3 linked regions of the Arabidopsis thaliana genome follow. The protein of the gene in region 1 purifies or fractionates together with the protein of each later gene. This does not show direct contact. Each region holds a gene or a part of one and is shown in the gene's direction. Other genes may lie near its edges.

Region 1 (10,813 bases):
AACAGTGATCTAATATATCAAAGACAAAAAAAAGGTGGATTGAGATTAATCATAAAAGGAAACAAATACTTTAACAACTTCTCAAAAAAATTGGTGATCAAACTCAGAAAACTAAAAATTGGAACATAGCAACTGAAGAAAATGAAAATGAGGATCTGTTTCGCATCCATATTTCGCAAACTCATTAAAACGTTAATTAATTTTAAAATAACCAAGTGTAGATAACGCAGCTTATCGGATCCGTTGGTATAACGTTGTATGGTCCTCAGTTTGGAAGGAGTGGCGATTTTCCGAAAATGGATTGATATAAGGCAAACAGATTGGTTCAGAGTAATTTCAAAAAAATCAATGAAACGGTATATGAAATAATGTACTTAAAATATTATATCAAATAGGCTATCTCTATGCTCACATCACATGCGTCGAATAAACAATTAAAACAAAAATCCAACGGGACGACCAATAGCATAATTCCGGTGGCTCGTAATTAAAAATTGGTCCACATTATATCAAAGTGCTCACGTACCCTTTCAAAATTCCAATTCCAACTAATGTTGCTGTGGTGCTACAGAAATAAATAAAAAACTATAGTTGAAAACTGACAAAACAAGTATAATTAATATTGACTCGCTTTATACAAGAAACATGTTACTTTGTACAAAACAAGTATAATTAATATTGACTAAAATGAAAATTATCACTTTATACCTGTTAAGAATCGATAGATTATCATACAAGTTGTTTCAAATTATTATACAAGTTTGTTTCACTTCACTTTACACCGAATAGCATTGATAAATTAATATACACCTGCTAAAGTGACGAGGTTTCAAAAGCATATCATTGCATCCTATAAAAAGAAGCTCACTCAGTATACTAAAACACACCAACATTCATCAAAAAAACACATAACAAAAAATGGAATTCTCAACCACATTAGCTCTGTTCTTCACTCTCTCCATATTCTTGGTCGGAGCACAAGCCAAAGTTCCCGTCGACGACCAATTTCGAGTGGTCAACGAAGGAGGCTACACCGATTACAGTCCCATCGAATACAACCCCGACGTACGTGGCTTCGTCCCCTTCAGCGACAACTTCCGTCTCTGTTTCTACAACACAACCCAAAACGCATACACTCTCGCTCTTAGAATCGGAAACAGAGCCCAAGAATCCACTCTAAGATGGGTCTGGGAAGCAAACAGAGGCTCACCAGTCAAAGAAAACGCCACGTTGACTTTCGGCGAAGATGGAAACCTTGTACTTGCTGAAGCCGATGGCCGCGTGGTCTGGCAAACGAACACGGCTAACAAAGGCGTCGTGGGGATCAAAATTTTGGAGAATGGCAATATGGTAATATATGATTCAAATGGAAAATTCGTATGGCAAAGCTTTGACTCTCCGACCGACACGCTTCTCGTTGGACAGTCTTTGAAACTCAACGGTCAAAACAAGCTCGTAAGCAGACTTTCTCCATCGGTCAACGCAAACGGACCGTACAGTCTCGTGATGGAAGCCAAGAAGCTAGTCTTGTACTACACGACAAACAAAACTCCAAAACCAATCGGTTACTACGAATACGAATTCTTCACCAAGATAGCTCAGTTACAGTCTATGACGTTCCAAGCTGTGGAGGATGCCGACACCACGTGGGGTCTACACATGGAAGGTGTCGACTCTGGTTCTCAATTCAACGTCTCGACGTTCCTCTCGCGGCCTAAACACAATGCGACGTTGAGTTTTCTTCGGTTAGAGTCAGACGGAAACATCAGAGTTTGGAGTTACAGTACGTTGGCGACTTCCACGGCTTGGGACGTAACGTACACGGCGTTTACTAACGACAACACTGACGGTAACGATGAGTGTAGGATCCCTGAGCATTGTTTGGGGTTTGGTTTGTGTAAGAAAGGTCAGTGTAACGCTTGTCCTAGCGACATAGGGCTTCTTGGTTGGGATGAGACTTGCAAGATTCCGAGTCTCGCTAGTTGCGATCCCAAGACATTTCACTATTTCAAGATCGAAGGAGCTGATAGTTTTATGACGAAGTATAACGGTGGATCAACGACAACGGAGAGTGCGTGTGGGGACAAATGTACGAGAGATTGTAAGTGTTTAGGGTTTTTCTACAATAGGAAGAGTTCGAGGTGTTGGTTGGGTTATGAGCTCAAGACATTGACTAAAACCGGAGATACTTCCCTAGTTGCTTATGTCAAGGCTCCGAATGCTAGCAAGAAGTCAGCTCTTGCCATTTGAAGCGTAAACAAAGGTTTTTGTGTGTCGTTTTGACGAATAATAAGGCTACGTTGTCCTTTGTTTTCTCTTTTCTGAAAAAGTGTTGCTATTGGTTTATCTTGTTTTATGATTGCATGTTGATTCTCAAGCTACACCGTAATAAATTGAAGTGAAACGCATCAGCTAAATTCAATTATTCTCATTATTTTACCAAAAAAAATAAAATTATTCATTAATTTAGTATCATCACAAAATATGATATACTTAAGGATTGAATTGAGAAATTGAATCATGAATGAGTTTAAGCTTTCATGTTTTCTGTTTTTCTTTTTTTTTTAGCTTGAGACCATATTTTGAAGGTAATGTTTCAAGAAAAACCTTAACTTTCCGTTGTGAAAAAATGTTTTATATTTTTATTAGACACTGATGCAATGCAGTAGAACGTGCACACAACACTTTGCTTCTCATGACAAGCCATTGAAAGATTCAAACTTTTAATTTGGATTATTAAAGAAGCGGTATAAATATGATACGAATAAGATGCGTGCTACGGCGCTTCGACGCCGCGTCACCTTAACAGAGATGGTCATCTGTCTCGTTTTTTTTTGACCAGTCAACGCTCTTATATATTTATTATACATGTACATAATGTCTTAAATCATGCAGACTAATAACTTTACATCGTTTTCGTTGTTAGCTTTGATTTTTAAAAGTCAACTTGAAAGATGCCAGGTGTTATTTATAGTTTATACATATCAAGCAAATGCTTTCTACTGCATATATTATCGATTTTTTTTACCCAAACATAATAATTAATTATTGAACAAAAGGTACACAGTACTTAACACTAATCTTCATTTTTCTTCATTTTGTGAGCTGATTTGGTCTAATTAAATCGATGGCATAAAAGCCAAAACCAGAGAAACATTGTTTATGAATAGAAATTTTTAGAGGTAAAAATTTAGCATTTGGAACCAAAGAGTCGGTTCTAATATAATGTATAAAGAACGAAAAATAAACGATAGAAATATTAACTGAACATTTAGTATGACGGTTTGGGACTTTGGGGTGACAAATTGTTGTACTATATTGAGCTGCCCATAAGCATTTGTATTTGTGAAACATTGCATATTAATTGGAGCTGAAGTATATACATATGCATAGCTATGAGTTAATTTTTCTACCTCGTCTCGAGACAATGCATTTTGAGGTGATTTGGTTCCCAAATGATGCCGCTCTAAAAAGGCTAATTAAGAAGTCAAACTTATTGTTGTTTTGTTGATGCCTCACGGGAATCACCAGATATGAAAGCTAAAATCTGATGATAAATGCATAACAAACAAGGCCATCAAATTATTAAAGGTAGTTCTTCAATAGAACCCACTTCAAGCAAAACCAGTAGCTTTACTAATGGAAGTTCAACAAGCCAGAAACTTGGGTTATTATGAGGTAACGTTTGTTGGAGATGGCAAAGCTTAATTTGTATGATTGTCACCAGTCAAGAAAAACACAGGGCTAACTGCAAAACTTCTATCAAAACTCTTGCCAAAGACATCGTATCTCTTTCTAGACAGCATGTAATTATATATATATGTACGTGGAAAACAAACTTAGTAGGAGTGTGTACAATTTAGCTAAGTATGATTGAATACATTCTACAGGACATGTAGTAACTTGGAACTAGTTATATTTTCTTTCTTGTGTAATAAGAAGATTTGAGGACAAAAAAAAAGATGCTAAATACAAGTTGGCACATGGACTCGGAAAAGAATAATAAAATGTTGCCAAAAGTAATTTAAAACAAAAATAGCTAGCCGTCGAATAAGACCTGTGCCCACACACACCTGGCAAGCCGCCGGGTATTGGGAGTTGGGACACATGACCACACCAAAGATCCGATCTAGATCATTTACATTAGATAATTATTTATCCATGGTCCGTTTATTTTTGTAAAACACCTTCAAATTTCTTTATTAACAAGTGGTCAGAATAGTTCAGATTAATATCAGAAAGACAATTAACTATAAGGATAGATAAAGTTGCATGTATTTGAATCATATATCAAATTCTATCTGAATCATATATCAAATTCTATCTATAATCTATGCGAATGCGACGTGAGTCAATAAATATTAAAGACAAATCCAACGAGACGAGAGAATCGACTATGAGCATCTTCCAGGTGGCTCGTAATTAAAAGTTGTTGGTCGGTGGGTCCTCATTCAAACGAGTGATTTATTATTTCGTTCGATTCAATACGCAACTCTAGTAATTTCAATTTAACTAATGCTGATGCAGTGTAAGAAAGTATAGTTATCAACCAACAACTCGCTTTGTAAGAGAAACATATCATACTTTTGATGATACTATTTTTTCTTTTTTGAATTTCACACCGGATTCAATCGGTAAAGTATTATAGAAGTTCTTACTGAAACAACATTAATTTTTTTGTAAAATATAAATCTAAGAAGAAAAAATTACTAGGGAAATTAATAGCAAACTGTAACGGTTGACTGGTTTTGCTAATCGTGCACGGTTTAGCATTGAGATTAAGATAAGCTCTTTCTAAAATATTCGAAACATATCCTTTAAAAAAAAAAAAAAAAATCAAACAAAACCAGCAAAAGTAATAGATTATAGCGAAACAAAGACCAAAAAGTCGTTCAAAATACTCTTTAAAATATTATAAAACCAACAAAAAAACAAAGACTTCCTTGGCTCCTCCTATAAATAGAAGCTTTCTCTCTTTACCAGAAACACACCAAAATCCATTAACACACACAAAAACAAAATGAAATTTTCAATCACATTAGCTCTATGCTTCACTCTCTCCATCTTCTTGATCGGATCACAAGCCAAAGTTCCAGTCGACGACCAATTCCGAGTGGTCAACGAAGGTGGCTACACCGATTACAGTCCCATCGAATACAACCCCGACGTACGTGGCTTCGTACCCTTCAGTGACAACTTCCGTCTCTGTTTCTACAACACAACCCCAAACGCATACACTCTCGCTCTCAGAATCGGAAACAGAGTCCAAGAATCCACTCTCAGATGGGTCTGGGAAGCAAACAGAGGCTCACCGGTCAAAGAAAACGCGACGTTGACTTTTGGCGAAGACGGAAACCTCGTACTCGCTGAAGCCGATGGACGCTTGGTATGGCAAACGAACACAGCTAACAAAGGCGCCGTGGGGATCAAAATCTTGGAGAATGGCAATATGGTAATATACGATTCCAGTGGAAAATTTGTATGGCAGAGCTTTGATTCTCCCACCGACACACTTCTCGTTGGACAGTCTTTGAAACTCAACGGTCGGACCAAACTCGTAAGCAGACTGTCTCCATCTGTCAACACAAACGGACCGTACAGTCTCGTGATGGAAGCCAAGAAGCTAGTCTTGTACTACACGACAAACAAAACTCCGAAACCAATCGCTTATTTTGAATACGAATTCTTCACCAAGATAACACAATTCCAGTCAATGACGTTCCAAGCTGTGGAAGATTCCGACACAACGTGGGGTCTAGTCATGGAAGGTGTCGATTCTGGTTCTAAATTCAACGTTTCAACGTTCCTCTCACGGCCGAAACACAACGCGACGTTGAGTTTTATTCGGTTAGAATCAGACGGAAACATCAGAGTTTGGAGTTACAGTACGTTGGCGACTTCCACGGCTTGGGACGTGACATACACGGCGTTTACCAACGCCGACACTGACGGTAACGACGAGTGTAGGATCCCTGAGCATTGTTTGGGGTTTGGTTTGTGTAAGAAAGGCCAGTGTAACGCTTGTCCTAGCGACAAAGGGCTTCTTGGTTGGGACGAGACATGTAAATCTCCAAGTCTCGCAAGTTGCGATCCCAAGACATTTCACTACTTCAAGATCGAAGGAGCTGATAGTTTCATGACAAAATATAACGGTGGATCATCGACGACGGAGAGTGCGTGTGGGGACAAGTGTACGAGAGATTGCAAATGTTTAGGGTTTTTCTACAATAGAAAGAGTTCGAGGTGTTGGTTGGGCTACGAGCTCAAGACATTGACTAGAACCGGAGATTCTTCCCTGGTTGCTTATGTCAAAGCTCCTAATGCAAACAAAAAGTCAACTCTTTGAGGTCTGAAAGTCATATATATATATGAAATTATTGTGTTGTGTGTTTAATAAGGTTCGTTTGTGTACCTTTTTAAAAATAAATGGTGTACTGATTCTCAAGATAAATCCTAATACAAAGTGAAGTGAAAGGAATCAATTTCTGATATATCTTACCATCCCCAATGGTTAAGAAGTAATTGGTTCTTAACCAAACATCTTAACAATTATTTATACTAAAATTTTAAAACATGACATGTAACTGTTTTTTTCACTCATGAAAACTTCTTAGCTAAGAAGCAAATCTTAGTTTTTAAATTTATTTTGATTTAATTTTTATAGTTTAATTTTAAGATATTATTCTAAGATACACCTAAGATACACCATTGGAGGTGCTATTACTCCCACAATTTCTTTATATAAGATTTTTTGACTAAAAACAGATTAATAAACTATTATTTTGTGCATCATGAAAACTAGTTCAACCAATGAAAATAAATACTGCATAATTCTTGTTCTAATGACAGATTTTAAACATTTCTGTATTCCCAATAAATACAGATTTAATTTAGAAACTTGAAACAAACAAAATTGTTTAAACATCTTACAAATAAAAAAAAAGGGAGTGAGTAATTCATAAAATACTATGCTTTGTCAGTAACGCAGAAGACCCAAGTGCACGTAATACATCAGAGGAATTAATTATTGATTGTAAAGATTATTGTATTGAATAGTTTTGTTACGTAGCTAAATATTTCAAAATTAAAGATGGGATCGCGAATTTGCAATTGCATCATGGTCGATAGAATAAGATGCGTGATACGATGCTTCAGCGCCGCGTCACCTTTTCGGCTAGTTTTTTTTTTTTTTTTTTCATTTACAAAGTCGGCTTGCAAGCTGCCGTATAACAGAAGTACATGTTAGGATTTTCATACATGTATTAATAAATCATATTTTCAGTTAATTGGGCCTGTAGGACACGTTTTAGCCCATTAATATATTCCTCTTACGTTTCAACCGCTTTCCCAAAACCAAAAAAAACTTGAAAGCGTCGCCACCGTCGTCAATTATCCGACGATCTCTCATCGCTTCGCTTTTACATCGTCATTATCTGTGATCGGATCGCGCCGCTGCAGGTCAGTTCTCTCGTTGTTCTTCTTAGTCTCTCTACTATGAATTTACTTAACTTGATCTGTGCTTTTCTGCTTAATTTTTCAGCATTACATCATTGCTGAGGTCTCTAAACAAAAGCGTCACGATTACAAAAGACGAAATCACATGGAAAACAAAGATTTGATTAGCCAATTATTGCCGGACCACGTACTGCATGAGATACTCCTAAAACTTGCGACGAAAGATTCTGTTAAAACCAGTATCTTGTCCACGAGATGGAGATATATTTGGCAACGTGTTCCTGGATTGGACCTTAACCAAACTAACTTCAGATACAAGGGGTTAAAGGGTTTTGTCAACAGGTTTCTAGATTTGGATAAGAAATCACTCATATACCAATTGAAGTTGGAATTTGACGGCAGGAAGTATGAGACTGAAGGATCCCTTTTCAACAAGTGGGTCGACTCAGTGGTTACCCGTGGAGTTCAGCATCTTGTGGTTGTTGCTAAAATATTTGGTTCTTGCATAAGAACAATTATTGTCCCATAAAACTTCCGGGAAGCATTTCTATGTGTGAAACATTGGTACACTTGAAGCTGGTCGAGGTAGGCATTGATAGTTTTGACTCCGTTTCTCTACCTCGTCTTGAGACTATGCATTTACTATCGGTTTGGTTTTCGAGCGAAGCGGCTCTAGAGAGGCTTATCTCATCCTCCCCAGTTCTTCAAGTTTTGTACATTGAAAAAGTTTGGAATGTGGAAGTTATACGAGTGCGGTCTCAGACACTATATAGCTTGAGAATGCGTATTTGGAAAAGAGATTTAGATTGGAACAAAGATTTAACAAAAATTGGGCTAGTGATTGATGCTCCTAGGCTTAAGTCTCTGAATCTTCAAATCCACCGGTTTAAAGACCTTGTGCTGAATAGTGTATGTTCTCCGCTCAAAGTGGATATTAGTATCTCTAAAGGAGAGTTTAATCCTATTAACTCATTGACGATGAAAACATTGCGTACATTTATTGCTTGGATATCAAATGTCACAAATCTTGCACTCAATTACTGTTGTCTAGAGGTATGTATATTTTTGTAACTATTCATCCTGAATTAATCTGTCTCGAAAACTTATTACTAATTTATTCTTCTTGGTTTTTGCTAGGCTATGTATGCTTACTCTAGCTCGGAACCATTGCCTCAGTTCTCTAACTTAACCCATTTGGAAGTTTCGATGGACTCCTCTTGTTTAAAGTTGTTACCAACGTTTCTCGCAAGCTGTCCAAACCTAAAATCTCTAGAGTTGGTAATTTTATTTTTATAAGTAACTCTTGAATTACTTAACTAAACTATACATTCTCATTACGTTTTTCGTTTCTTGTCCTTGATATTATGTAGTGGGTTCACGATCATCGTCTAGATATATTGGATATCTCAAGATCAACTATGCCTAAGTGTCTGCTAATATCGCTCAAGTTTGTTACGATATACAGCACAGCTATGATATCCAGCTCGGTTGAGAATCAGGTCGAAACCGAGCTTGTCAAATACATCCTGGGGAATGCAGCAGTTGTCAAGGAGCTTACTCTTCGATTCATTTTATGGGCAGAAGAACACAGGTTTCAACTTAGCAAGCAAATCCTTGCGTTTCCAAAGCTTTCTTCTGCTTGTCAAGTCTTTCTTCATTCGTCGTTTTTTTGAACTTGTTGTGAGGATCAAGCACAAGTGTAAACGTTATGCTTCTTAGGTGTTTTTAGTTTCCACACTTGTTCCGGTTAGACATCGTAATTTTTAAAAATTTTAAGATTTATGTGATTGGTAAATTCAAGATGCCGCAATATTATTGATATCGTAGATATCTTTGTCAGCCATTATTTGTTTGGGTTTCGTTTGGTGCACATGTAAAGAATAAGATACATGGATCTCTGCTACCCATAGATACGTGTACTTAAACTTTTAAATGAAAAAGCCAAATCTTGGCCCCTCGCAGTGGCATCTAAGAAAAATCCACAACTACATTTTTTCTTCAAAACTTAACTAAACTCACAGCTTCAAGTCTATTTTACCAAGACGGTGCTGTGATATTTTACCAATCCTCATTATCCTCTCATAGGCAGAAAATCCGGTTTCAAGTCTTCTAGAAAATGATAGTATTAAGATAAATGCATAAAAGGATTAATCATTTTCTTTCGACAAGAAAATAAATTATATGATATTCAGAAAGCAAAATAGTTATGACGAATATTCGATAATCTGCACTAGACAAACCTTATCCAAATCATAAGTCGCCATCGGCTCCATTGTACAGCACCAATTTGCTTGATCTCTTCTTCTTTAATTAGTCAAGTCGCAATTAGCAACTTTGACTTTTCAAACGAATACGGCCAATATTACAAAGCTAAACAACTTATATATACCACAACACAAGATACATCTTCTACATAATCATCTCACTCCTTTACTCACACAAGAAAACAAAATCATGTCTCGATTTGCTATCTTAGTAACCTTGGCACTTGCCATTGCCACTGTTTCGGTGGTTATAGCTCAAGTCCCTCCGGAGAAACAATTCAGAGTCGTCAACGAAGGAGAATTCGGTGAATACATCACTGAGTACGACGCAAGTTACAGATTCATCGAATCATCAAACCAGAGCTTCTTCACATCACCATTCCAGCTCTTGTTTTACAACACTACCCCTAGCGCCTACATCTTAGCTCTCCGAGTCGGACTCAGGCGTGACGAGTCTACCATGCGTTGGATATGGGACGCGAATCGCAACAACCCCGTCGGAGAAAACGCTACACTCTCACTCGGCCGTAACGGCAACCTCGTCCTCGCTGAAGCTGACGGACGAGTCAAATGGCAGACTAACACAGCTAACAAAGGCGTCACCGGATTCCAAATCTTACCCAACGGAAACATCGTCCTACACGACAAAAACGGCAAATTCGTATGGCAGAGTTTCGATCACCCCACCGATACACTCCTCACCGGCCAATCGTTAAAAGTTAACGGAGTCAACAAACTCGTTAGCCGTACATCTGATTCGAACGGCTCAGATGGTCCGTACAGCATGGTGCTGGACAAAAAAGGTTTAACCATGTACGTTAACAAAACCGGTACGCCGTTAGTTTACGGCGGATGGCCGGATCACGATTTCCGCGGCACCGTCACTTTCGCCGTTACAAGAGAATTCGATAATTTAACGGAGCCGTCAGCTTACGAGCTTCTCTTAGAACCCGCACCACAACCCGCTACGAACCCGGGTAATAACCGCCGGTTACTCCAAGTCAGACCAATCGGAAGCGGAGGAGGAACTTTAAATCTGAACAAAATCAATTACAACGGAACGATTTCGTATCTAAGACTCGGATCTGACGGGA
Region 2 (10,204 bases), about 17 Mb from region 1:
TGAGATGGAGAAATAGGAGTGTGGGATCCAGATAAAGCGACAATGTCCTTGTCAGACAAGCCCATCCGCTTAGCAAATACATCTCTCAACAGATCAAAACCTTTTGTAGCATCAGGGAGACGACCCTCAGGAGGTGTATGGGGCTTGTCCTGAAAGCAAGATATGCATGTTAGAAACAGACAATCAAGTCCCACAGCGTTTCAGTATTACAAGTATTGAGAGAATGTCTAAATTATCAATCAGCCATGTCAACAAAGAAAGCAGAACACACACTCTCAGGAATGATTAACCTCTCTTCAAGGGTGGAAATGAATTTTAGGGCCACCAGTAACTTCAACGGCCACAGCACCTGAAAGATCAATTTCTCACCAAAAAGACATTGTAAGTTAGAATCCAAACCCTAAAGTTATCACCGTCAACAAATTAGAACTTTTCAAAAATCTAAAATCAATCAGCAAGAGAGATAGTAGGGAATGCTACCTGATGGGGTCCAGCAACCTAAGAGCAATTTGAATACCATAGTTGGCTCCATTAACTTGCTCTGCATCAAACCTCATTGTTCTGAATGGACCTCCAGTTCTTGACTGACAATCGTAAGTTCCAGTAGAGTGCCATCTGCAGAAGAAATCAGATCAGCCATGAGAACCTAAATATTAGAAACCAACCACACACTGATATAGTTAGTTATTTACGCATGATGCATATCACAACCAATAAAAATTAGCAATAAACGGAGACAAATGTGCTTACTTATTTTTGTTTCCTTTCGAATTATGCATATCACAACTAAGGCACAATGAGAACGATCACTAATGTGACAAATGTCTTGGTCATCGACTCTGGAATCAGAGAGGACATTAAAAAGCCTCAGAAATTGGTAGAGACACACATTGTCTTAAAAAGATGACTACGGTTCAGGGGTTTTGACAAGAAAGTGTACCTCTCAGTGCAAGTCCACCAGCCATTATTCAAGGATCATTAGTTCAAACCTTATTCCCTTTATACGTTGAATTTGTGCTTTATATGGCGAGAACTGCATTGATATGGATAACTGTGAATTTCAGTATAAATCAAGGTTACGAAACTAGAAAATGATTTACCAATTCGTCACGAAAGCTTACCTTATTCAAGTCTCTTTATCAACTCCTACATCCGCACACTCACACAAAATATTCCAGCAAGAAACACATCAATTAAGGAACAATATCTACATCAAACAGACAGAACCACACAACTTAAATATGAGAAAACACACAATGCTATAAAGCACTAACCTTTTTCTCAAATTTTGATACCCGGTCGGAGCTATCTTCTGAGATTAAAGTGGTTTTACATAAACTCCCATTGGTTCTAATAGAAAAGAGTTTAAAACGATGAAAAAGATTTAACAAGATTACCTTGTCAGTCATGAGTATATTAAAGCTCATCTGAAACTTTTGCTCTTTCTTCATAAAACCTGTTTTAAACTGCAAACAATGCTCGTGTACTTTTCAAATATATAAGTTAGTACAAGCTATAATAAAGCAAGTAGATAAGAAAGTAAGAAATAAGGGAACACTCACAACGCAATTTCTTGCCATCAAATGTGATTATTCACACTTTTTGCTATAAAAAAAATCATGTTAAAGTATGTTTTATGTTTCTTGAAGTTGCGTTTGGACGTTGTGTGTTATGTTTTTTGTTTGTGCATTTGAATTTCATTTTGTGTGTGTGATTTGTTGTGTATGTTCGAGTGTGGTTTTTCGTGGATTTATGTTCTGTTTTCTGTTTCTTTAAGTTGTGTGTTTTGGACGTTGTGTGCTATGTTTTTTATTTGTGTGAATTTCGTTTTGTGTTTTGGTGACTTTAAAATAGTTATGTGTGTTTGATTTTTTTTTTGTGCGTTTATGTGTAGGTTTTCGTGGATTTATGCTCTGTTTTTGATACAGTGCAAGAGACATGATAAGTGGGAGGGAGAGAGAGCGAGCTACTTAACCATACCTTTGTGGCTACTGAACTGTCTTCAAAGCTTCCTTACAGCTAAACAATCCTTCATCCTGAGAAACTTTGTCAAAAATTCCATTAGAAAGCTCTTGAAACCAAAGAAACCTTGTTAATAACACGCAGCTTAAACATAGAACGAATATTTAAATTTAAATGATCATAAAACCAAAATTGACAAAACATACAAAATCCTCGCTGCTAACATTTGGTTGCTTGCTCTGCTCAGGTTTTCTAAACAGGTAATATACATTGTTATGGAGCTGCTAATTGCAGAAAAAAACCTGTCTAATTGCGGTAAAGGAGAGAGATAAAGAGAGACTTCACCTTAATCATTGTACGTCTTTGCTAGCGAAATAGTCTCTCTATGGTTCTCTGCACTTGAAAGCAATGACATTTATTAGTAAGTCATCAACTAGTAAGATAGAGCGGTAGAGCCTATCATCTCTGAAATGGAGAAATAGACAAACATTATCTAGAGAATCAGGTAATATCTTGGAGACACTAAACACTAGAGCCAAAGAACTGAATCACTAAACAGAGAAAAATCATCACAAGAGGTTCTAAATGGATAGATTTTCTTAATCAAAACACATGTAACCAACGTTTTTCAATAACCTACATGATTGAATTGAAACTAGTACTAAACGAACACAAAATGAAGATCATCATCATCAGAATCATCACACTACTACGAAATTCACTGATTCTACTAAATTGCTAAGAGATTGATTACTATAAATGGATCAACAAAGAAACCCGAAGAAAGGGGTTTGTGATTCCTAACCTTATTTTGCTTAATCACAAGGATTTGTAATCAAGATTCAATTCCACAATTATGTTCTGAATAATCGGAAGAGAATTATGAAGTAAACGAAACAACCGATGAATCAAAAACAAACTTGAAATCGATCAGAATTGGGTTTATTATATACCTGATTGTTTGCGTAATATCGGAGGGTTTAAACCGAGTCAATCACACGCTCCTCTTGACGGCGGTGACAAGGATTTCCTCCCCAATTTCGTTTCTCATCCCCAGATTCATCACCGGCTGGAGCCGAAACAAGTTGATTCCGAAGAATTTGATAATTTGAATTGTAGAGACGAAGTATTTTTTGAGTCGGTGATGAAATGAATGGAACCAGAAAATTATATTTGTAGTGAGTGTTCTAAAGCTAGTTGATACGAAAATACTAAAATACCCCGTTTTATTCCGTTAGACCCATTTGGATTTGGATTTGAATTATAATTTTCCCCCTAATTTGAAAATTTTAGTCCGTTAAAACTTAAAACAAAAATTCAAATTACATATTACTTATGGTTGGATGTGCACTTTACTTAATTTGAGAATACTACCACGAGTGAGTTCATTAAGAAATTCTTAAGTATTACAACCCTTACCTTCATTCTAACGAGAACACAAAGCAATAACGAACACAATAACAATTAGATGATTCATTTTTTGGATCTAGAATATTTCTTAAAGTACAATGAATCCAAAAGCTTAATGTTCATAAGCCAACAAATAAATTTGAACAAAAATATAAACCAAAAATGAACCTATGGCGGGAGGAGCATTTCCTGTCGAAAACTAAGGTTAATCAGTAATATAATGATCAATCCTTTCTCTCTCTCAAACTAAGATTCAAAAAGCTCCAATGGAGTAACCTGAAAGACAAGAAGCGCATAAGAAAATTGGTTGAGGAAATGAATCATAAGAAGTAAATCGATTAGACAGACCATTATAGAGATTCTGCGACTATCTCTTAAACAAACCAACGTCTTAAATCTCTAAACTCACACTTAAACAATATGAAAACAACCTCTCCAATACTCTGATAACAAACCATGCCTCAAAATCGTGTTGCTTGTATTCTACGGAACAGGCATTATACTATTATAAGATCAAAATATATTGAACAAAATCTCGCAGCTTAATTTAATACTTAAAAAATCACAGGTCAATAAGATATACAAGAGGGATTACCAATATCACGCTTACCATTCCAATGACATGTGGTCAAGTCTTAAGATCGAGATTCACATTGATATCAGATCTCTTTATTTTGTTAATTAAGGTCTATATCATGGAGTATCTCTTTTACCGACAGAGAGTTGATTAAGCCTGTCATGGGAATATAAAATGATAATTGTCATGCTGTAATTACGGACACCACTAACTATGCAAGAAAAAACACGTTTGAAAATGAATAGAAATGAAATCAGACCTCGAGTCGACGACACTTCAGTCACTTCTCTCATTCAACAAAACACCATGAACTCTTGTTCCTTCCCTCTCTTCCTCTTTGTTATCTTTCTCCGGTGTTTAAGTTCCACGGGAGCTGCCACATGTCATCCTGATGACAAAGCGGGTCTTTTAGCTTTCAAATCGGGTATAACCCAAGATCCTTCGGGTATTCTCAGCTCATGGCAGAAAGATATTGACTGCTGCTCCTGGTACGGTATCTTTTGCCTCCCTACGATTCATGGCGACCGCGTCACCATGATGGCATTAGACGGAAATACGGATGTTGGTGAAACCTTTCTCTCCGGCACTATCTCACCGTTGCTCGCCAAACTCCATCACCTCAACGAGATTCGCCTCACCAATCTTCGAAAGATCACTGGATCTTTTCCCCACTTCCTCTTCAAATTACCAAAGCTAAGGACTGTTTACTTAGAGAATAACCGTCTCTCTGGTCCCCTTCCTGCCAACATCGGTGCACTAAGTAATTTGGAAATTTTGAGTGTGGCGGGAAACCGGTTCAGCGGTTCGATCCCAAGTTCGATGTCTAAGTTAACTAGCTTACTCCAACTCAAGCTCAACGGTAACCGCCTTTCTGGCATCTTCCCAGACATATTCAAATCCATGCGGCAACTTCGATTTCTTGATCTCTCCAGCAACAGATTCTCTGGAAACCTTCCTTCATCGATTGCATCTCTTGCACCGACTCTTTCTACCCTTGAGGTGGGCCATAACAAGCTATCGGGGACTATCCCGGACTATTTATCGAGATTCGAGCTTCTCTCCGCATTAAATCTCTCTAGGAATGGGTACACAGGGGTCGTGCCGATGAGTTTTGCCAATCTGACCAACATTATCTTTCTTGATCTCTCCCACAATCTGCTTACCGGTCCATTCCCTGTCTTGAACTCATTAGGCATCGAATATCTACATCTTTCGTACAACCGATTTCACCTTGAAACAATCCCCGAATGGGTGACCTTGTCGAAGTTCATCTACTCATTGAAGCTTGCAAAATGTGGGATCAAAATGAGCTTAGACCATTGGATGCCAGCAGACACCTCTTTCTACCATCACATTGATTTTTCGGAAAACGAGATCTCAGGGAGTCCAATAAGGTTTTTTAACCAGATGGATTTTATGGTGGAGTTCCATGCACCGGGGAACAAACTCCAGTTCGACTTGGGGAAGCTAAAGTTTGGAATCTTCTTGAAAACCCTGGATTTGTCAAGGAACTTGGTATTTGGGAAGGTACCGGTGACGGTGACCAGACTGCAGACACTAAACTTGAGTCAAAACCATCTTTGCGGAAAGCTTCCATCGACAAAGTTCCCGGCTAGTGCTTTTGTCGATAACAAGTGTCTTTGCGGCTTTCCACTTTCTCCTTGTAAAGCTTAGGGACAAGAAAAGCACAGTTTTGTATTTGGATTTATTATGACACGTAGCTCCAAATAAAATTTGTGTGACTATAATAAAGTGATTTAAAGATCCCAATGCCAATAAGCTCCATTACAACTATAGTGAATGTTAGTGAAAGTATGATTTCAACCCTTATGCACTATTTCCATGCAGTCGTTATGTTGGTACAAAATTGAGGATCTGAAGGCATTTGAAAGGTCACCAAACAGTCTCTCTGAGAAACATGAAGCGAAGAAATTCATATTTAGTCAATAGAACCACTGAGCCGGACAATGATTACCTCAACATGATACGAAATGATTAAATTTAATGAGTAGTAGTAGTATTCTAATACAAATGTTCCGATTTATGTAACGTTGGCTTGTATTAATGATGCATATGTTATGCTTGAGTGTTCTTATAAATTTGGTCGAACACTTGAAATGTAAACGGATCAGATCTTGTATTTAATTGTGCATGGGCTAAATTAAATACTTCTCTTTTACCTTTTTTGCCAATGAAAAGTTGAATAATAGTAAGGTCCGATAGGCCCATTAAAAAGCCCACAAACCCTTTAATCAGCTATATTCCCATTCCACTGCTCCCAAGTCGTCACCACCACTTCCCGTCCTCTCTCCAGTCACTGTTTCCGAAGCCCTAAAGTTTTCAAGGTCGCCGATTAAATCACCAAAGGAGGCGTTTTTATACTATTCCCGGTTCAACACATGGCGGAGGAAGAGGTTATCGCTATCCCCGTGCAGCCATCTGACCACAAGCGCAAGCTTGAGAATCTCGAATCGGAGATCCTCGAGCAGCAACACGCCGGCTCGATTGATAATGACGTTTCTGTAGATGATGACAAAAACGCATCTGATTATTGTCAGCCGAAGCGACCGAAGCTTGACGATGAAGCTGTTGATGGTTTAGGTATGTCTGATTCCTTTCAAAGTATGGATTTTGGTGGATGCATATCGAAAAGATTTCACCTTTGTTCTTAATATTCGTTGTTACGGCATTGTGTTGTAGGGATTGGGGGAACTGTAGAAAACAGTGGTGATGTTGAATCCAAGGAGGAGGGAACTGAGAAACCCATTGCTCAGAGTGATGAGAATCAAGATGGTAATCCTTTAATTGAGAAAGTTCAGGAGACCATTGATGCTGAGGAATCGGACAATAAGATGGAAGATAACGGTAAGCCTGAGGATAACCAACTAGTTACTCCTGAGGTTGTAACCTCTCAGGACGTTTCTGTTGAAGAAAGTAAGGAGGTGAACATTAGCGGTTCACAGAATGAAGGTGAGGATGATAGTAAGGAAACGAATGATGTTGTTGCTCAGAAAGAAGTTGAAAACGGAAGCAAAGAGGTCACTGATTGTGACTCTCAGAAGGAAGATGAAGCAAATGCTGGTGGCGAGAGTAAGGAAGTGAATGGCAGTGTTTCTCATGATGAGATTGGTGACGAGAGTAAAGAAGTGAATGGTGGTAGTACTCATAAGGAGGTTGATGATACTCAGTCCACGACTCGTCGAATAGATGTCCCGAGTTCAAAGGTGACTTGATTTGGTTTCGCTTTTGACTCTTTAGTGAGTAAGTTTTGCTGAGTTTTGGCTTCAATATATGTGATCTTGGCACACTTGACAGGTTGGCACGCTAATTGGTAAAGGTGGGGAGATGGTACGGTATCTTCAGGTCAATTCTGGTGCTAAAATCCAAATCCGGAGGGATGCAGAGGCTGATCCAAGTTCAGCTTTAAGACCGGTGGAAATAATTGGAACTGTTTCTTGTATCGAGAAAGCAGAGAAGCTTATCAATGCTGTCATTGCAGAGGTTTAAAAGTTTTCTTTGACATTATCCTTTTTTAAATCACAATCTTTTAGTTGTCTATGCTAAGAGTTGGCTACATTTTTCTTCTTCTGCTGCAATCCCAGGTTGAAGCAGGAGGTGTACCTGCCCTTGCTGCAAGGGGGGTCCCAGAACAGATGGAGATTAAAGTTCCAAGTGATAAGGTAGACCCTGGTAACTGTTCTGATTGGCCATTTTTAAGTGATAACTAATCCATCTTCAACTCACAGGTTGGTGTGATTATTGGCCGAGGTGGGGAGACTATCAAGAACATGCAGACAAAGTCGAGAGCACGCATCCAGGTGATTACTTCTATTTAATCTTGAATGTATGGAGAGTACAGAGAAAGATTGTGACAATATTGCTTGTTACGGGTAACAGCTGACTAAAATAGTTTTCATATAGTTGATACCACAAAATGAAGGTGATGCATCTAAGGAAAGAACTGTTCGTATTTCTGGTGATAAAAGGCAGATTGATATAGCCACCGCTTTGATAAAGGATGTTATGTACCAGGTTTGTCTTCTAATGTTCTTTCTCAAAACGATGTCATTGCTTTTAGTTTTTGCAACCATGTAAATTGCTTTGTTTTCATTAATCTTGGTGCACGATATGTCTGGTATACCGAAATGTTTGATAATCATATCCTGATAACTGCTTTATTTTGGCTTTATTTTCACCAATGCATCTACATAATTTTTAAGGTGATAAATCTGTGTTTTCGTGTTCCCGCTATCTGTTTGCTAATTTTCTCGTGCATGCAATCTCTGTAAAAACTAGCTTGTTACCTATGATCAACTATAGGTCCATTACCTTAATCATGTTGTTCATTTTATGCTGATTCACATTTGATTTATGTTTTTGGGGCATAGTCATTTGATTGTGGATAATTTTACTGTTTTCCTGCTTTAAGCATATGCAAAAGTTGTCTTAGTTTGAAAGTTCAGTGCAAATCTATGCGGGCTCCCCTGATTTAGTGAATAGGTGCATATTCATGTCCTAATGGAGTACTTGGTTCATACTGCTGAAATTAGAAGGATAGCTTGAGAAAATATGTACATATTGTAAGAGAACTGATAATTTTCTCCTGTTAAGAAGATCATTTGTTCCATCCTCGATGTCGCTTGCCATGATATTTAAAATTAAAGGTGCCGATCTCGAATTGGTGTTGGCTTTAAAAATGCAGATGTGGCTATTACCTTTCAATTGGGGTCAGCATTGCCTTGTACAATAGACATCACCCAGGTCTACGGATGAAGGTATTTGGCAGTTATCATTCACGCTTGCAGGTTCTAGTAGTCGGTAAGGCTGCTTTTGTTCTTTGAAAACTTCAGGACGTTAGTGTGAGCATGGATATATTGCAGTTCCGTTGTATAAATCTAGCTGCAAGACTTTAATGGCCTATATCGCTTGCTCTTATTTGATTAACGACATTGACGAGAATCTAGAATATATATGTCAACCGCCAAGTTTGCAATGTGAACAGAACTTCTTTTTTAGTACTCCTTCTACAACCAAGTCCATAAAAATTGTGTTATGTATGCTCAGATGATCATGGAATTACTTAAGGGGAGCCTGGATACCTTTGTGCTTACTAAATGATCATCTCTGATATTATTTCAAGCATGTACTGTAGTTTTAGGCTAGGTACTAAGTTGAGGCCAGACTTTATGTTCAGCTTGAAACAGCTTGGAATGCTATTGACAGCATAACTGTATGCAAAGTTATCACTTTTATTGCATATAATAATTTCTGGCCCATGTCATGTCTCCGAATGCCATCTGCATATGATCTGTTTGATGAAATTCCTTGCTGTCTTGCTATGTTCTTAGTCATATCCACTTTTTCGATTCTTTTGTCAACTTAGAGATTTTATGTTATGCCATTTTTAATTTGAATTTATAACAGTGCTTTCTTCTGTCAGCTGTATGATATATTATGTCCCACTTTGTTTTTCTTTAAAGGAGTTTTCAATTTTTTATGTTTTGTAGGATGGAAGGCCATCGCCCTATTCTGGTGGTTTTAACCAGCAGGCTTACCAACCTCGAGGACCAGGTGGTCCACCTCAATGGGGTTCGCGTGGTCCTCACGGGCCACATTCAATGCCATACAATTACCACCATGGTGGACCGTACCCGTCTCAAGGCTCACATTTCAGACCTCCCAATTCTGGTGGTTATCCTCCACAACATATGCCTCCTAGAAGTGGATATGGTTCTGGTTGGGAACAAAGACCTCCACATTCTGGTCCATATGATTATTACGGTAGGCAAGGAGGTCAAAACCCAGGCCCTGTGCCTTCTCATGGTGCTTCTTACTCCCAGGCAGGTGCTCAGCAGACTTACGGGCAGATGTATGATCAGCCACACTATGATAATCCTCCTATGCATCAATCTTATGGAGGATATGGTGGCTCCCAACAGGGCTATCCATCGGCAGGTGGTCAGCACCAAATGCAGCAGCCAAGTAGACCTTACGGTATGCAAGGATCAGCCGAGCAAGGGTATGGGCCTCCAAGGCCTGCAGCACCTCCTGGTGATGTGCCTTACCAAGGTCCAACACCAGCAGCACCGTCATATGGTTCAACACCAGCAGCAGCATCGTATGGTTCAACACCAGCAGCACCATCATATGGTTCAACTCCAGCAGCACCATCGTATGGTTCAAACATGGCTCAACAACAGCAATATGGTTATGCATCAAGTGCGCCTACTCAGCAAACTTATCCTTCATATAGCT
Region 3 (10,884 bases), on another chromosome or scaffold:
ACTTCGAATATCACACATATATGATTCATGCCGTTAATATTTTTCTTAGCATGGTCTTACTGAAAATAAAATTTAAATATTACTATGAAAAATTATATAAATCACAAAACTAGTTTGGTTTTCTTTTGTGTAGAAAAGATTATCGGAAATAATTTCATGTTTATTTATTTATTTTTACATCAAAATTTTAAAATAGAAACACAATTTTCCATTAAAAAAATTCATAAGATTCCAATGAGCTTCCAAAGTAATTTTTTTGGAAGCCTATATAGTCTTAGATTTTGATAATATTTATGAAAAAAAAGCTAATTCTGAAGTACACTGAAACAAATAACAAATACATGACGCTTCCATTTTTATTTTTTTCTAACATGAAGCTTCCTTACACGTAGAAAGTTAAGTACATCGAAACAAATACCAAAGACCTGAGAAAGTGGATAGAAGTCTTATTATTAAGAACAATAATTGATAAGAACAAAGCATCTTATTATTTAACAAATGCAAATAGAGTAAATAGAAGTCGTGAGACTTCGTGACGTCATCACTTCTTCGTCATCTCCTTGACACTTCGTGACGTCCTTGTCTTCTCGATAAAGGTGCCTAAGAAATGGAAAGAGTGGTTTTGTGTTCTTACTTTACATTTTTGCACACAGAAAAATGCTAGCGGTTTCCTTTTTTATCTATATAAATGGTTTCTTTCTTTCTTCATTTTGAACACAAAAGAAGAATAACCATGGGTGAAGCCGCTAAGGTAATATAAACTCTTCCTTCTTGATTTAGGATCTATTCCCATTTACTTTAGAAGTGTTTTTGCTTAGCATCAGATTGATGTTTTCTAGGATCAAACTGAAGAAGTGATTCAAGCTTGGTACTTGGATAATAAGGAAGAGGATCAGAAACTTCCTCACCACAAGGATCCTAAGGAATTTGTATCTTTGGACAAACTTGCAGGTCTGTGTGTATCTTCATTGTTGCACATACTTTTATTCTTTCACGTAGGTTAATAATGTTTTTTTTTTTTTTTGTTCAGAGCTTGGAGTACTTTGCTGGAGACTTGATGCTGATAACTATGAAACCGATGAGGAATTGAAAAGGATCCGCGAATCTCGTGGTTACTCCTACATGGTTTGTGACATTTATTTGATGCCTTTTTTTAATATCTTCCTTTGTTTGGTCTTTTTTTTTAACAAAAAATAAATCTTCGTTTGTTAGTTGATTATTAAATATTCGTTTTTGATTCGCAAACATTTGGATGTTTGGTTTTAGGACTTATGTGAGGTGTGTCCAGAGAAGCTTCCAAACTATGAAGAAAAAGTAAAGATGTTTTTTGAAGAACATTTACATATTGATGAAGAGATCCGTTACTGCCTCGCAGGAAGTGGTAGGTACTTTTATTCGCTGCTTTAGTACTTAAATAAATTCGATATGGTGCTCATTTATTTTATTTTTTCTTAAAAACAAATCAAAGGATACTTTGATGTGAGGGATCTCAATGATATTTGGATTAGAGTATGGGTAAAGAAGGGAGGTTTGATAGTCTTCCCTGCTGGAATATATCATCGCTTCACCGTGGACTCGGACAACTATATGAAGGTTCAATCTTAGCTTCTTCTAGTTATTAATTCATACTATATGAAGGTTCAAGTAATATATTTTTGGTTGCTTAGAAAATTGGAATTTTCTTATATATTGAACAGGCAATGCGTCTTTTCGTGGGTGGACCAGTGTGGACTGCTTATAATCGCCCACATGACCATCTTCCTGCAAGGTACAATGATGTCTTGTTCTCCCATATTGTCACGACAAAGCTTACTAGATCTGTAGTTATATATCTAAGCAAAGAGGCGACAAAAGTGTTTATGTATATTCAAACGGCTATTTTATAGGAAAGCGTATATGAAAAAATTCTTGAAGGTGATTGGGGACCGTAACATAGACGCTTCAGCGTAAAGAACTCTCGGGGATCAGATTTCTATAAGCTAAACATATGTTTAGATGTTGTCTTTAATTATGCTTTATTATGTTTACAACATGGAAACCGAAGACATTTTGGTTCATGTGTCTTTTGGCATTATTGTTGTGATTGTAATGTAAAGAAGAAGGAAAATGACAATATATGAAAGCAAGAAAATATATAAAACTATCGGTCACTATTAGTCTCAACCTACTGGTGTCTATGCATAATACATGATATACATCCGTTACTGTAAATAAATAAAATGATTATTTGAATTGAACACATTACTTATGGAGTATCCATAATCTCATGTTTTTAGAATTTGTACCCAATGATAAATAAAATCAAACAAAAGAATTTCTAGTCTTTTGTTATATTCTTGCCTCTTGGTGACTAAGAAATCGATACATTTAACTAAAAAAAAAAAAGATAAAAAAGAAGAAGAAGAAATCGATACATGTACACATCAAGTATATGTCTTGTTATTTTCCAGTTCATGTTTACTCCCTCTGTTCCTAAAAAAATAATGTTTTGGGTTTTTCACACAAATTAAAAAATGTAACTTTAATATTATTTTTATTACTTTTCTATTAATCTAATAATATAAATTTTACTTCTCTTTTCTCTCTATTGGTTACTAATAAAAATAATAATAATATTAACCTACAACATCAAACTTGATGAAACAAAAATAAAACTCAAAACATCAAACTTTATAGAACAGAGGGAGTATAAGATTTGGCTGCTTCAGACATTCATCTCAACCTTTTTCTCTTTCTTTTCTTTTCTTTTCACATGCACGTTAGTATATATTGTGGTGTAAAGTGTAAACTTTCGCTAGGAAATCACGTTCTCTAGCAATGATTTGGTTTTAAAAACATTGTTTTCCCCCTCTAATAAGATTATTACTCTGTTTTTTTATTTTGTTTCTCTTTGATATAAGAGTCGGAATCCACCAATCCAATTGACAGACGGTTCCAAAATATACATGTAGGAGACACCAAAGCAAGAAAGATTTATGTTCAAATGAGCTAATTAACATAGAAATATATTTTAAACTGAAAAAGATAGCTCATTGGAGTTTTATTTAAGTGCTAGAAAGTAAAGAAAAAGGAAATTTACTTTAGAGAATAGCCAAGCTATGATAGATTCCTAGATTGAGATATAAAATGATGAAAAAGAGAGTTGTTCCAAATGGCAACTCCCAGAGTTATAAAATCGATTTGGAACAATTGGTTTATGCATATGCCTTATGGGTAAAAGGATGAAAAAGAGAGTTGTTCCAAGTAAATTGACCCATAAGGCATAAATTAACCAAACTTCAAGACCTAGTTTATAGTTAATGCCAAGTACTTCCAACGAAGTCCATGATACGACTTTTCCACACGCGGTACTTTATTACTTCTAAATCATTTCGATTGAATAATTCATGTGCAGAAAATATATTTAAAACAAAAAATAGCTACTAGTATACTTGAAACAAGCTATTTCATCAATCATCACATCTGCATATTCAGAACCATTCTTATATCTTCCCGTACACCTCTTCTTGGAAAAAAATGGAGTTAGGAAAATCAATTGAGAACCAAAACAACGTCGTGGCAAGACTAGCAAAGAAAGTCATTGAAACAGATGTCGCCAATGGCTCCAATGTTGTCTTTTCACCGATGTCAATCAACGTTTTGCTCAGCCTCATCGCCGCTGGTTCTAATCCCGTCACCAAAGAAGAAATCCTCTCATTCCTCATGTCACCGTCTACGGATCACCTTAACGCGGTCTTGGCCAAGATCGCGGACGGCGGCACCGAGAGAAGTGATTTGTGCTTATCTACGGCTCACGGTGTCTGGATCGACAAGTCTTCTTATTTGAAGCCTTCCTTTAAAGAGCTTTTGGAGAATTCCTACAAGGCTTCTTGTAGTCAAGTTGACTTCGCAACCAAGGTAACTTTTTTCGTTAGGGATAAATTTTGCTTCAATTATTATGGGACCGAAACTTAGACTAATCCCTATAACATAGATATATAAAGGTGAATGTTCGTGTTATTTAAGACGTTTAATGTGGTTACGAAGGAGACGGCTATATCACATTCTCTTTTTTTATTTCTTCAATTTCTTGTGTATATATGACATCCAACTTCACTAATGATTGGTCAATTTTTATCGCTTGGTCATGAAGCCTGTTGAAGTGATTGATGAGGTAAATATATGGGCTGACGTCCACACAAATGGACTCATCAAGCAGATTCTTTCACGCGATTGTACCGATACTATCAAGGAGATCCGTAATAGCACACTTATTCTAGCAAATGCAGTGTACTTCAAAGCAGCATGGAGTAGAAAATTTGATGCAAAACTAACAAAAGATAACGATTTTCATCTTCTTGACGGTAACACGGTAAAAGTCCCCTTCATGATGAGTTATAAGGACCAATATCTAAGAGGCTATGATGGTTTCCAAGTTTTGCGCCTACCTTATGTAGAGGATAAACGTCATTTCTCCATGTACATTTATCTTCCTAATGACAAAGACGGACTAGCTGCTCTGCTTGAGAAAATAAGCACTGAACCAGGATTTCTTGATAGCCATATTCCACTTCACCGTACACCAGTCGATGCTTTGAGAATTCCGAAGTTGAACTTCTCTTTTGAGTTTAAAGCTTCAGAAGTTTTGAAAGACATGGGGCTTACTTCTCCATTTACTTCCAAAGGTAATTTAACTGAGATGGTTGATTCGCCTTCGAACGGTGATAAACTGCACGTCTCAAGCATTATTCATAAAGCTTGCATTGAGGTGGATGAAGAGGGAACCGAAGCTGCAGCGGTCTCTGTTGCCATCATGATGCCCCAATGTTTGATGCGGAACCCGGATTTTGTAGCTGACCATCCATTTCTGTTCACTGTGAGAGAAGACAATAGTGGAGTAATTTTGTTCATTGGTCAAGTTCTTGATCCTTCTAAACATTGATTGAACTATGTCGTGTGATGAGCGTTGTTCGGTTTGCAATAATGTAGGAAACCCCGTGGTCTTAGTGTGCTTTTCCATTGTGTCTCCTACTTAGCTGGAGAAAACATTATGAAATATGTTTGTTGTATTTTGTCTATATTTATGGTTTGGTGAAACTAAGTTTGCTTCTTCTTCTTTTTATTGCTTTGTGTAAGTTCTAATAGTGTACGTTCTTGTCTAGAAACCATTGTCCTCATTTTCTATCAAATGAACTACAATCCGGAGCAATTTATCTTGAAAATCTCAGCAAATAGATTACACATATTCTCTGCATTTTTATATATCCCGAATCATTTTTAAATCTATGGCATATTGGTCTTATAAACCTTTATCAAAATATGGGTTTACGTCGAATCTACCTTTTTCCGACTTTAAGGCAGACAATCTTGGTGAGAACATTGCCATCATCTACATTCTACATCATGAATTAGCGTTTTAATATTCATCTCTCCTTTCTCTTTTGCTTTATCCTCGGTTTCTTTTATTGATATTCTTTCATTTGTATATTGAACTTCTAGGCTCTAGCGGTACCTTTTAGCATTCATTTGTATATTTCTTTTCCCACATGCCAAATGTTGTCCCATTATATTAGTACCATTTAAAAGGATTATCTTACCAAAAAGTCACTACTAAGAATACTTTTTTCTACAGAGTTTATAACCTATAACGGTCAATATTAAACATCCCTCCTATAAAATACTAAATAATCTTAAATAATGTCAAAAGACCCTTTTTGTCAAAACAACCTTTTGACAAAAGATAATTGGTAGTTATTATGCTATATAGTTTTTATTTTTGTCACGTTTTATACTGTTATTTAATTATCTTTACACTGTATTAATCGTTACGCGCAAATGGATTGGTCCAAATGGGTCAACTTTGACTATTTGATATTAATTGGTGTCGAGTCTAATCTCTCTTTAGACTAATTAGCTATCAGTTTGCTAATTGCTTCTCTCAACCTCACTACAAAAAATAAAATTCACTACCATGAACTCTTGTTCTTTCCACAACTTCTTCATTTTCACCGCCGTGATCTTTCTCCGGTGTTTAAACCCCACCGCAGCAGCCACGTGTCATCCTGATGATGAGGCGGGTCTATTAGCTTTTAAATCGGGTATAACCAAAGATCCTTCAGGTATTCTAAGCACTTGGAAAAAAGGTACTGATTGCTGCTCTTGGAACGGTGTCAGTTGCCCTAACGGCAACCGTGTCGTCGTACTCACTATCCGCATAGAGTCCGACGATGCCGGAATCTTTCTCTCTGGCACAATCTCTCCGTCACTGGCCAAACTCCAGCATTTGGAAGGGGTCGTCTTTATCAATCTCAAAAACATCACAGGACCATTTCCACCATTTTTATTCAGATTACCACATCTAAAGTATGTTTACCTCGAGAATACACGTCTCTCTGGTCCTCTTCCAGCCAACATCGGCGCGCTTAACCGCTTAGATACATTAACCGTTAAAGGAAACCGGTTCATCGGTTCAATCCCGAGTTCCATATCCAATTTAACTCGGTTAAACTACCTAAATCTTGGCGGTAATCTCTTAACCGGAACAATACCGTTAGGGATTGCTAATCTCAAGCTCATTTCGAATCTTAATCTCGATGGAAACCGTCTCTCTGGAACCATCCCGGATATTTTCAAATCAATGACTAACCTTCGAATCCTCACTCTCTCACGCAACAGATTCTCCGGGAAGCTCCCTCCGTCGATTGCATCGCTCGCGCCGGTTCTTGCGTTCCTTGAGCTAGGTCAGAACAATCTCTCGGGGTCGATACCGAGCTATTTATCAAGATTCGTGGCGCTCGACACACTGGATCTCTCCAAGAACCGTTTCTCTGGAGCCGTGCCGAAGAGTTTGGCCAAGCTGACTAAAATTGCTAATATCAATCTCTCTCACAATCTTCTAACCAATCCATTCCCTGTTTTGAACGTGAAGAATTACATCTTGACTCTAGATCTGTCGTACAACAAGTTTCACATGGAAACAATCCCGGAATGGGTGACCTCAGCGTCGATCCTCGGCTCTTTGAAGTTGGCTAAATGTGGAATCAAGATGAGCTTAGACGATTGGAAAACAAGGCAAACTGATCTCTACGTTTCCATTGATCTTTCGGACAACGAGATCTCAGGGAGTCCACTGAGGTTCTTGAAGGGAGCAGAGCAACTACGGGAGTTTCGAATGTCGGGGAACAAACTCCGATTCGATTTGAGGAAGCTAAGTTTCTCGACGACGCTCGAGACGCTTGATCTATCAAGGAACTTAGTGTTCGGGAAAGTGCCGGCGAGGGTGGCCGGATTAAAGACACTTAACTTGAGTCAAAACCATCTTTGTGGGAAACTTCCGGTGACAAAGTTTCCAGAAAGTGTGTTTGCCGGCAACGACTGTCTATGCGGCTCCCCGCTAAGTCATTGTAAAGGTTAATGGATTCATTCATCGTCATGTTATATTGTTTTTGAACTTCATGTGTCACAAGTTCCATATTCTTCTTTTGTCTTTGTTTAATTTTCGTATTCTCTTTAAGTTCCTTTATTTACTGATTTTGTGTTACTGATTTTGGTATATGAATATCGCCACACAACACCTTCAAATCTTCTAATTTTTTTCTGAACTAATCAATTATAATGGAAAAGTTTCTAGAAAACAAGTGCGCTCTATACGTATAAAACAAGGTGAGACAGATTCGTGCATCGTTTATTCATGTGCAAATGTAGCTTATTATGTTGTTGTAGCTTATTTGCGATAAAAACATAGCTAGAGATTTGTTGTTGTAGCTTATTTTTAGCAAATGCGTTAGAATTTTTTTCTATATAGTTACTGAAATATAAAAAGGATGCTAGTAATTAACGAGAGAGTCGTATAAAACTATAAATTCAATATTTCTTTTATTTGTTGAACAACACGAAAAGGGAAAAAAAAATGCAAGTAATACGGGAGTGTCATATGAAGAATTGAAAACATATTTCCATAAGCCAATTGGATTTAATCAAGCAGAGACCGATGTTGTAGTTGGAGCAGGGTTATCGAACTCAACACACATTTTTAGCAGTGGCACTTCAGCGTCATCACCATATTCATCAACAAGGGATATGACAATCTTGGACTTATCCTTCTAATTAGTTTAAAGAAAGAAAAAAAAAACCGTCAGGCAAACCAAGTAAATATACTATTGTGGTTTTTAGATTGTTCGGTTTTAAAATACATTTATCAAAGTGAAACCGTTTGTCCAAAAATTAAAATAAAAAATACTTACATGAGGGAGTGACTGCAAACCAGGAACTTTGGAAAGAGTTAACACAAATTTTTCGCCAGGTTCAATAGAGCATGGATCCTCACCCATCACATCACTGAGGTCGTAATTTATTATAGTGCTATTCACATTTTCATATTTATACAACACATGTATAGTTGCTCTATAGATGATGTAGCCTGTAAACACAAATATATTTTCTTACAAGATAAGATATTGGAAACTATAAATGAAAACAATTAAAAGAATAGAAAATATTACGTACTATCATCACTTGTAAAGCCGGATATGGTAATGGTTGGCTCGTCGTAAGGCCCAACAGGGTATGGAGAGATCTCCACACGTGTGACGTTCGTAATACCGTAATTGTAGTCAATAGGTGCATCTTTAGTCGCACCGATTTAGAGCATGTTAACAATTGTAGAAGTTATCAGTAAGTCATGGCAGGTAAAAAAAAAACTTGGATCTACATCCTAATTTCTTACAAAAATAAATCCTAAATTTCTTTATTTGGAAATTTGGTATGTCAAATGATAGGGTCATAGGGGTAAGTGTTTCTTTATTTATTTATTTGTAGGATTAACAAAAGATAAATCTATTTTAAATTTCGATCAGATTTCAAATTGTTTGATCTATCTTTGAATATTGGAGGAACTCTGGACCTGCAATATTTTAGTTATAATACTCAGTTCTTGACTTATACACCACGGCTCTCGAAAACCACACTGAAGGAAAAAAAAAAGAAAAAAGTCTTCGGTGAATACTTCACAATTATTGGGTTATTTTATAGATGGGAGTACTTTCATAGTTTCATTGATCTGTTCTTTCTATATAAACGTTTTCACAGTAGCAAAATACTCTATTTCTGTTTTATGGAATTGACGACTAATGTGAGTTCCGGTTCAAGATTTATTTGGTAAAACAAAAAACAGAGATAGGAGCAAACCACAATCTATGAAATTCAGGCATATTCTTTTCATTGAATTGACTTATCAAGTAACAAGAATTGATGTTCTATATAACAATATAAGACTTAACAAAAACGATACTTACTTTTGCAGTTTTCAAAATTGTATGCGCCGGCGCCAAAAGCAGATAAGAAATAGAGTGATGATAGGAGAAGCAGAACAGGTTGGGCGTGAGATATCGCCATGGGTTATATCTTCGAAAGATAAAAAAGATTAATGCCTGTTTTGTTTTGACAAACAAGTCTGTAATACGTATGCTTAAATTCATTCATGCCTAGTATTTTATATAGTCTATATAATATAATATTCTGCTTAACTAGTGGATGATTCATCCCTATATAATAATCTTCCACGTTATACTTATTCCTATATGATATAATCCTAATTTATACGTGAGAATCTTAAAAAAATGAGTGTTGCCTGAAATCTCAATATTTCAAATATTACCACCTTTTATATACAAGGACGTGAATTCTTTTAGATAAAAAAAAATCCCAAAGATGGAGTTGTTTGACTGCGACCATGTCTGTTGGTTCGGCGTGATTTCCAAAACACAACTGTTATTAGCATCATACAAAATTTAAAACCGATCACAAACCGAAAAAACAAAAATGTATGCATAGATATACATTGCGCTTAAACCATATACTGGGGAACTAAATGGTCAACGTTAACGCAACATGGCATACAAATCTTATTTTTGAGATAAGATGAAATAGTAATAAAATAAAATAAACCATACCCGAACCACATGGTCGAAGCTAAACACAACCTGGCAAATACTTTCATTATTAGAGGTTTTTGTTTCCCCACTTTGAGATGCACCACCGGTTAAATAGGTGAATCTTTAATTTCTTCGACATGAACTCACACATGCCTGTGAATTGAAGAATTTGGTCATAGTTGGCAATACCAATGACATTTTATTTATATTTTGGTTAAAAATACAAATGACATCTAAAGTCATATTCTAAAATCTCGCTTTTAACGAAGCATATAAATATATCTGGATATTACTTTGATTCGGTCCACTAATTAAGCAAAATATTTTAATCTAATAGACTATAAAAATAGTAGGCATGAATAACATGTTTTATGATATATATATATATGATTTTGTGTTTTTTTGGATTTGTGGTTTTAGGACTTTAGGATTTTAAGATGTTTTTTTTTTTTAATATCTAGATATTTTTTAATTTGTTACTGAAATTTTTTCTTGGTTTTATTATAATATGTTTTTTAGATTTTTATTACTTATAAATTTTTCTTTTATTTTTATCTAGATATCAATATAACCAATTAAACCAATAAATTTTATGGTTGTGGATTTGAGTATATAAATTCAACTTATATAAATACATGGGTTGGGTCAAACTCGTCTATTAAAATCTCAAATCCATGTGGGTTTGGGTAAGGTTACTCATTTTGACATCTTTGGTTAAAATAGTTACCTCTAGTTTTGTTTCAGTCCCACATCTCAATTTGTTTTAACACAGTCATTTCGTCGAACACCTCATATGCGTTGTTGTTGTATACTAAATTACTAATACTTTAAACAAAGACTAACAAAAATGGCTTAATTCGATAATCAAAACCACTATTTGGATCAAACGTTGACTAATCTCACTTAAATCACTCTTCTGTTTTCCTCTAATGACGGATGAAGAACAGAGTTAGTTTTCAAGGTTTATCCACAG

What was found.
Region 2: the proteins of AT1G78850 (region 1) and AT1G33670 fractionate together in Arabidopsis thaliana (co-fractionation; one large-scale study listed by BioGRID). This does not show direct contact.
Region 3: the proteins of AT1G78850 (region 1) and AT2G26380 fractionate together in Arabidopsis thaliana (co-fractionation; one large-scale study listed by BioGRID). This does not show direct contact.

The regions. Positions count from the first base shown.
Region 1 is NC_003070.9:29,637,605-29,648,417, reverse strand, and holds AT1G78850 (D-mannose binding lectin protein with Apple-like carbohydrate-binding domain-containing protein), read left to right. Parts: upstream 1-4,882; 5' UTR 4,883-5,020; coding exon 5,021-6,346; 3' UTR 6,347-6,558; downstream 6,559-10,813. Other genes in the region: AT1G78860 (D-mannose binding lectin protein with Apple-like carbohydrate-binding domain-containing protein), read left to right, coding at 919-2,250; AT1G78840 (F-box/RNI-like/FBD-like domains-containing protein), read left to right, coding at 7,601-7,933, 7,966-8,508, 8,593-8,733, 8,826-9,128; AT1G78830 (Curculin-like (mannose-binding) lectin family protein), read left to right, coding at 9,910-10,813. UniProt on the Arabidopsis thaliana protein: May be involved in a cell-to cell programmed cell death (PCD) signaling mechanism.
Region 2 is NC_003070.9:12,197,708-12,207,911, forward strand, and holds AT1G33670 (Leucine-rich repeat (LRR) family protein), read left to right. Parts: upstream 1-4,255; coding exon 4,256-5,623; 3' UTR 5,624-5,701; downstream 5,702-10,204. Other genes in the region: AT1G33680 (KH domain-containing protein), read left to right, coding at 6,349-6,550, 6,650-7,173, 7,265-7,450, 7,552-7,629, 7,696-7,767, 7,871-7,981, 9,457-10,204.
Region 3 is NC_003071.7:11,223,124-11,234,007, reverse strand, and holds AT2G26380 (Leucine-rich repeat (LRR) family protein), read left to right. Parts: upstream 1-5,884; 5' UTR 5,885-5,950; coding exon 5,951-7,393; 3' UTR 7,394-7,520; downstream 7,521-10,884. Other genes in the region: ARD3 (acireductone dioxygenase 3), read left to right, coding at 689-751, 840-951, 1,031-1,125, 1,267-1,381, 1,469-1,593, 1,698-1,886; AT2G26390 (Serine protease inhibitor (SERPIN) family protein), read left to right, coding at 3,517-3,897, 4,133-4,921; AT2G26370 (MD-2-related lipid recognition domain-containing protein), read right to left, coding at 7,956-8,081, 8,223-8,398, 8,485-8,604, 9,273-9,372; AT2G26360 (Mitochondrial substrate carrier family protein), read left to right, coding at 10,848-10,884.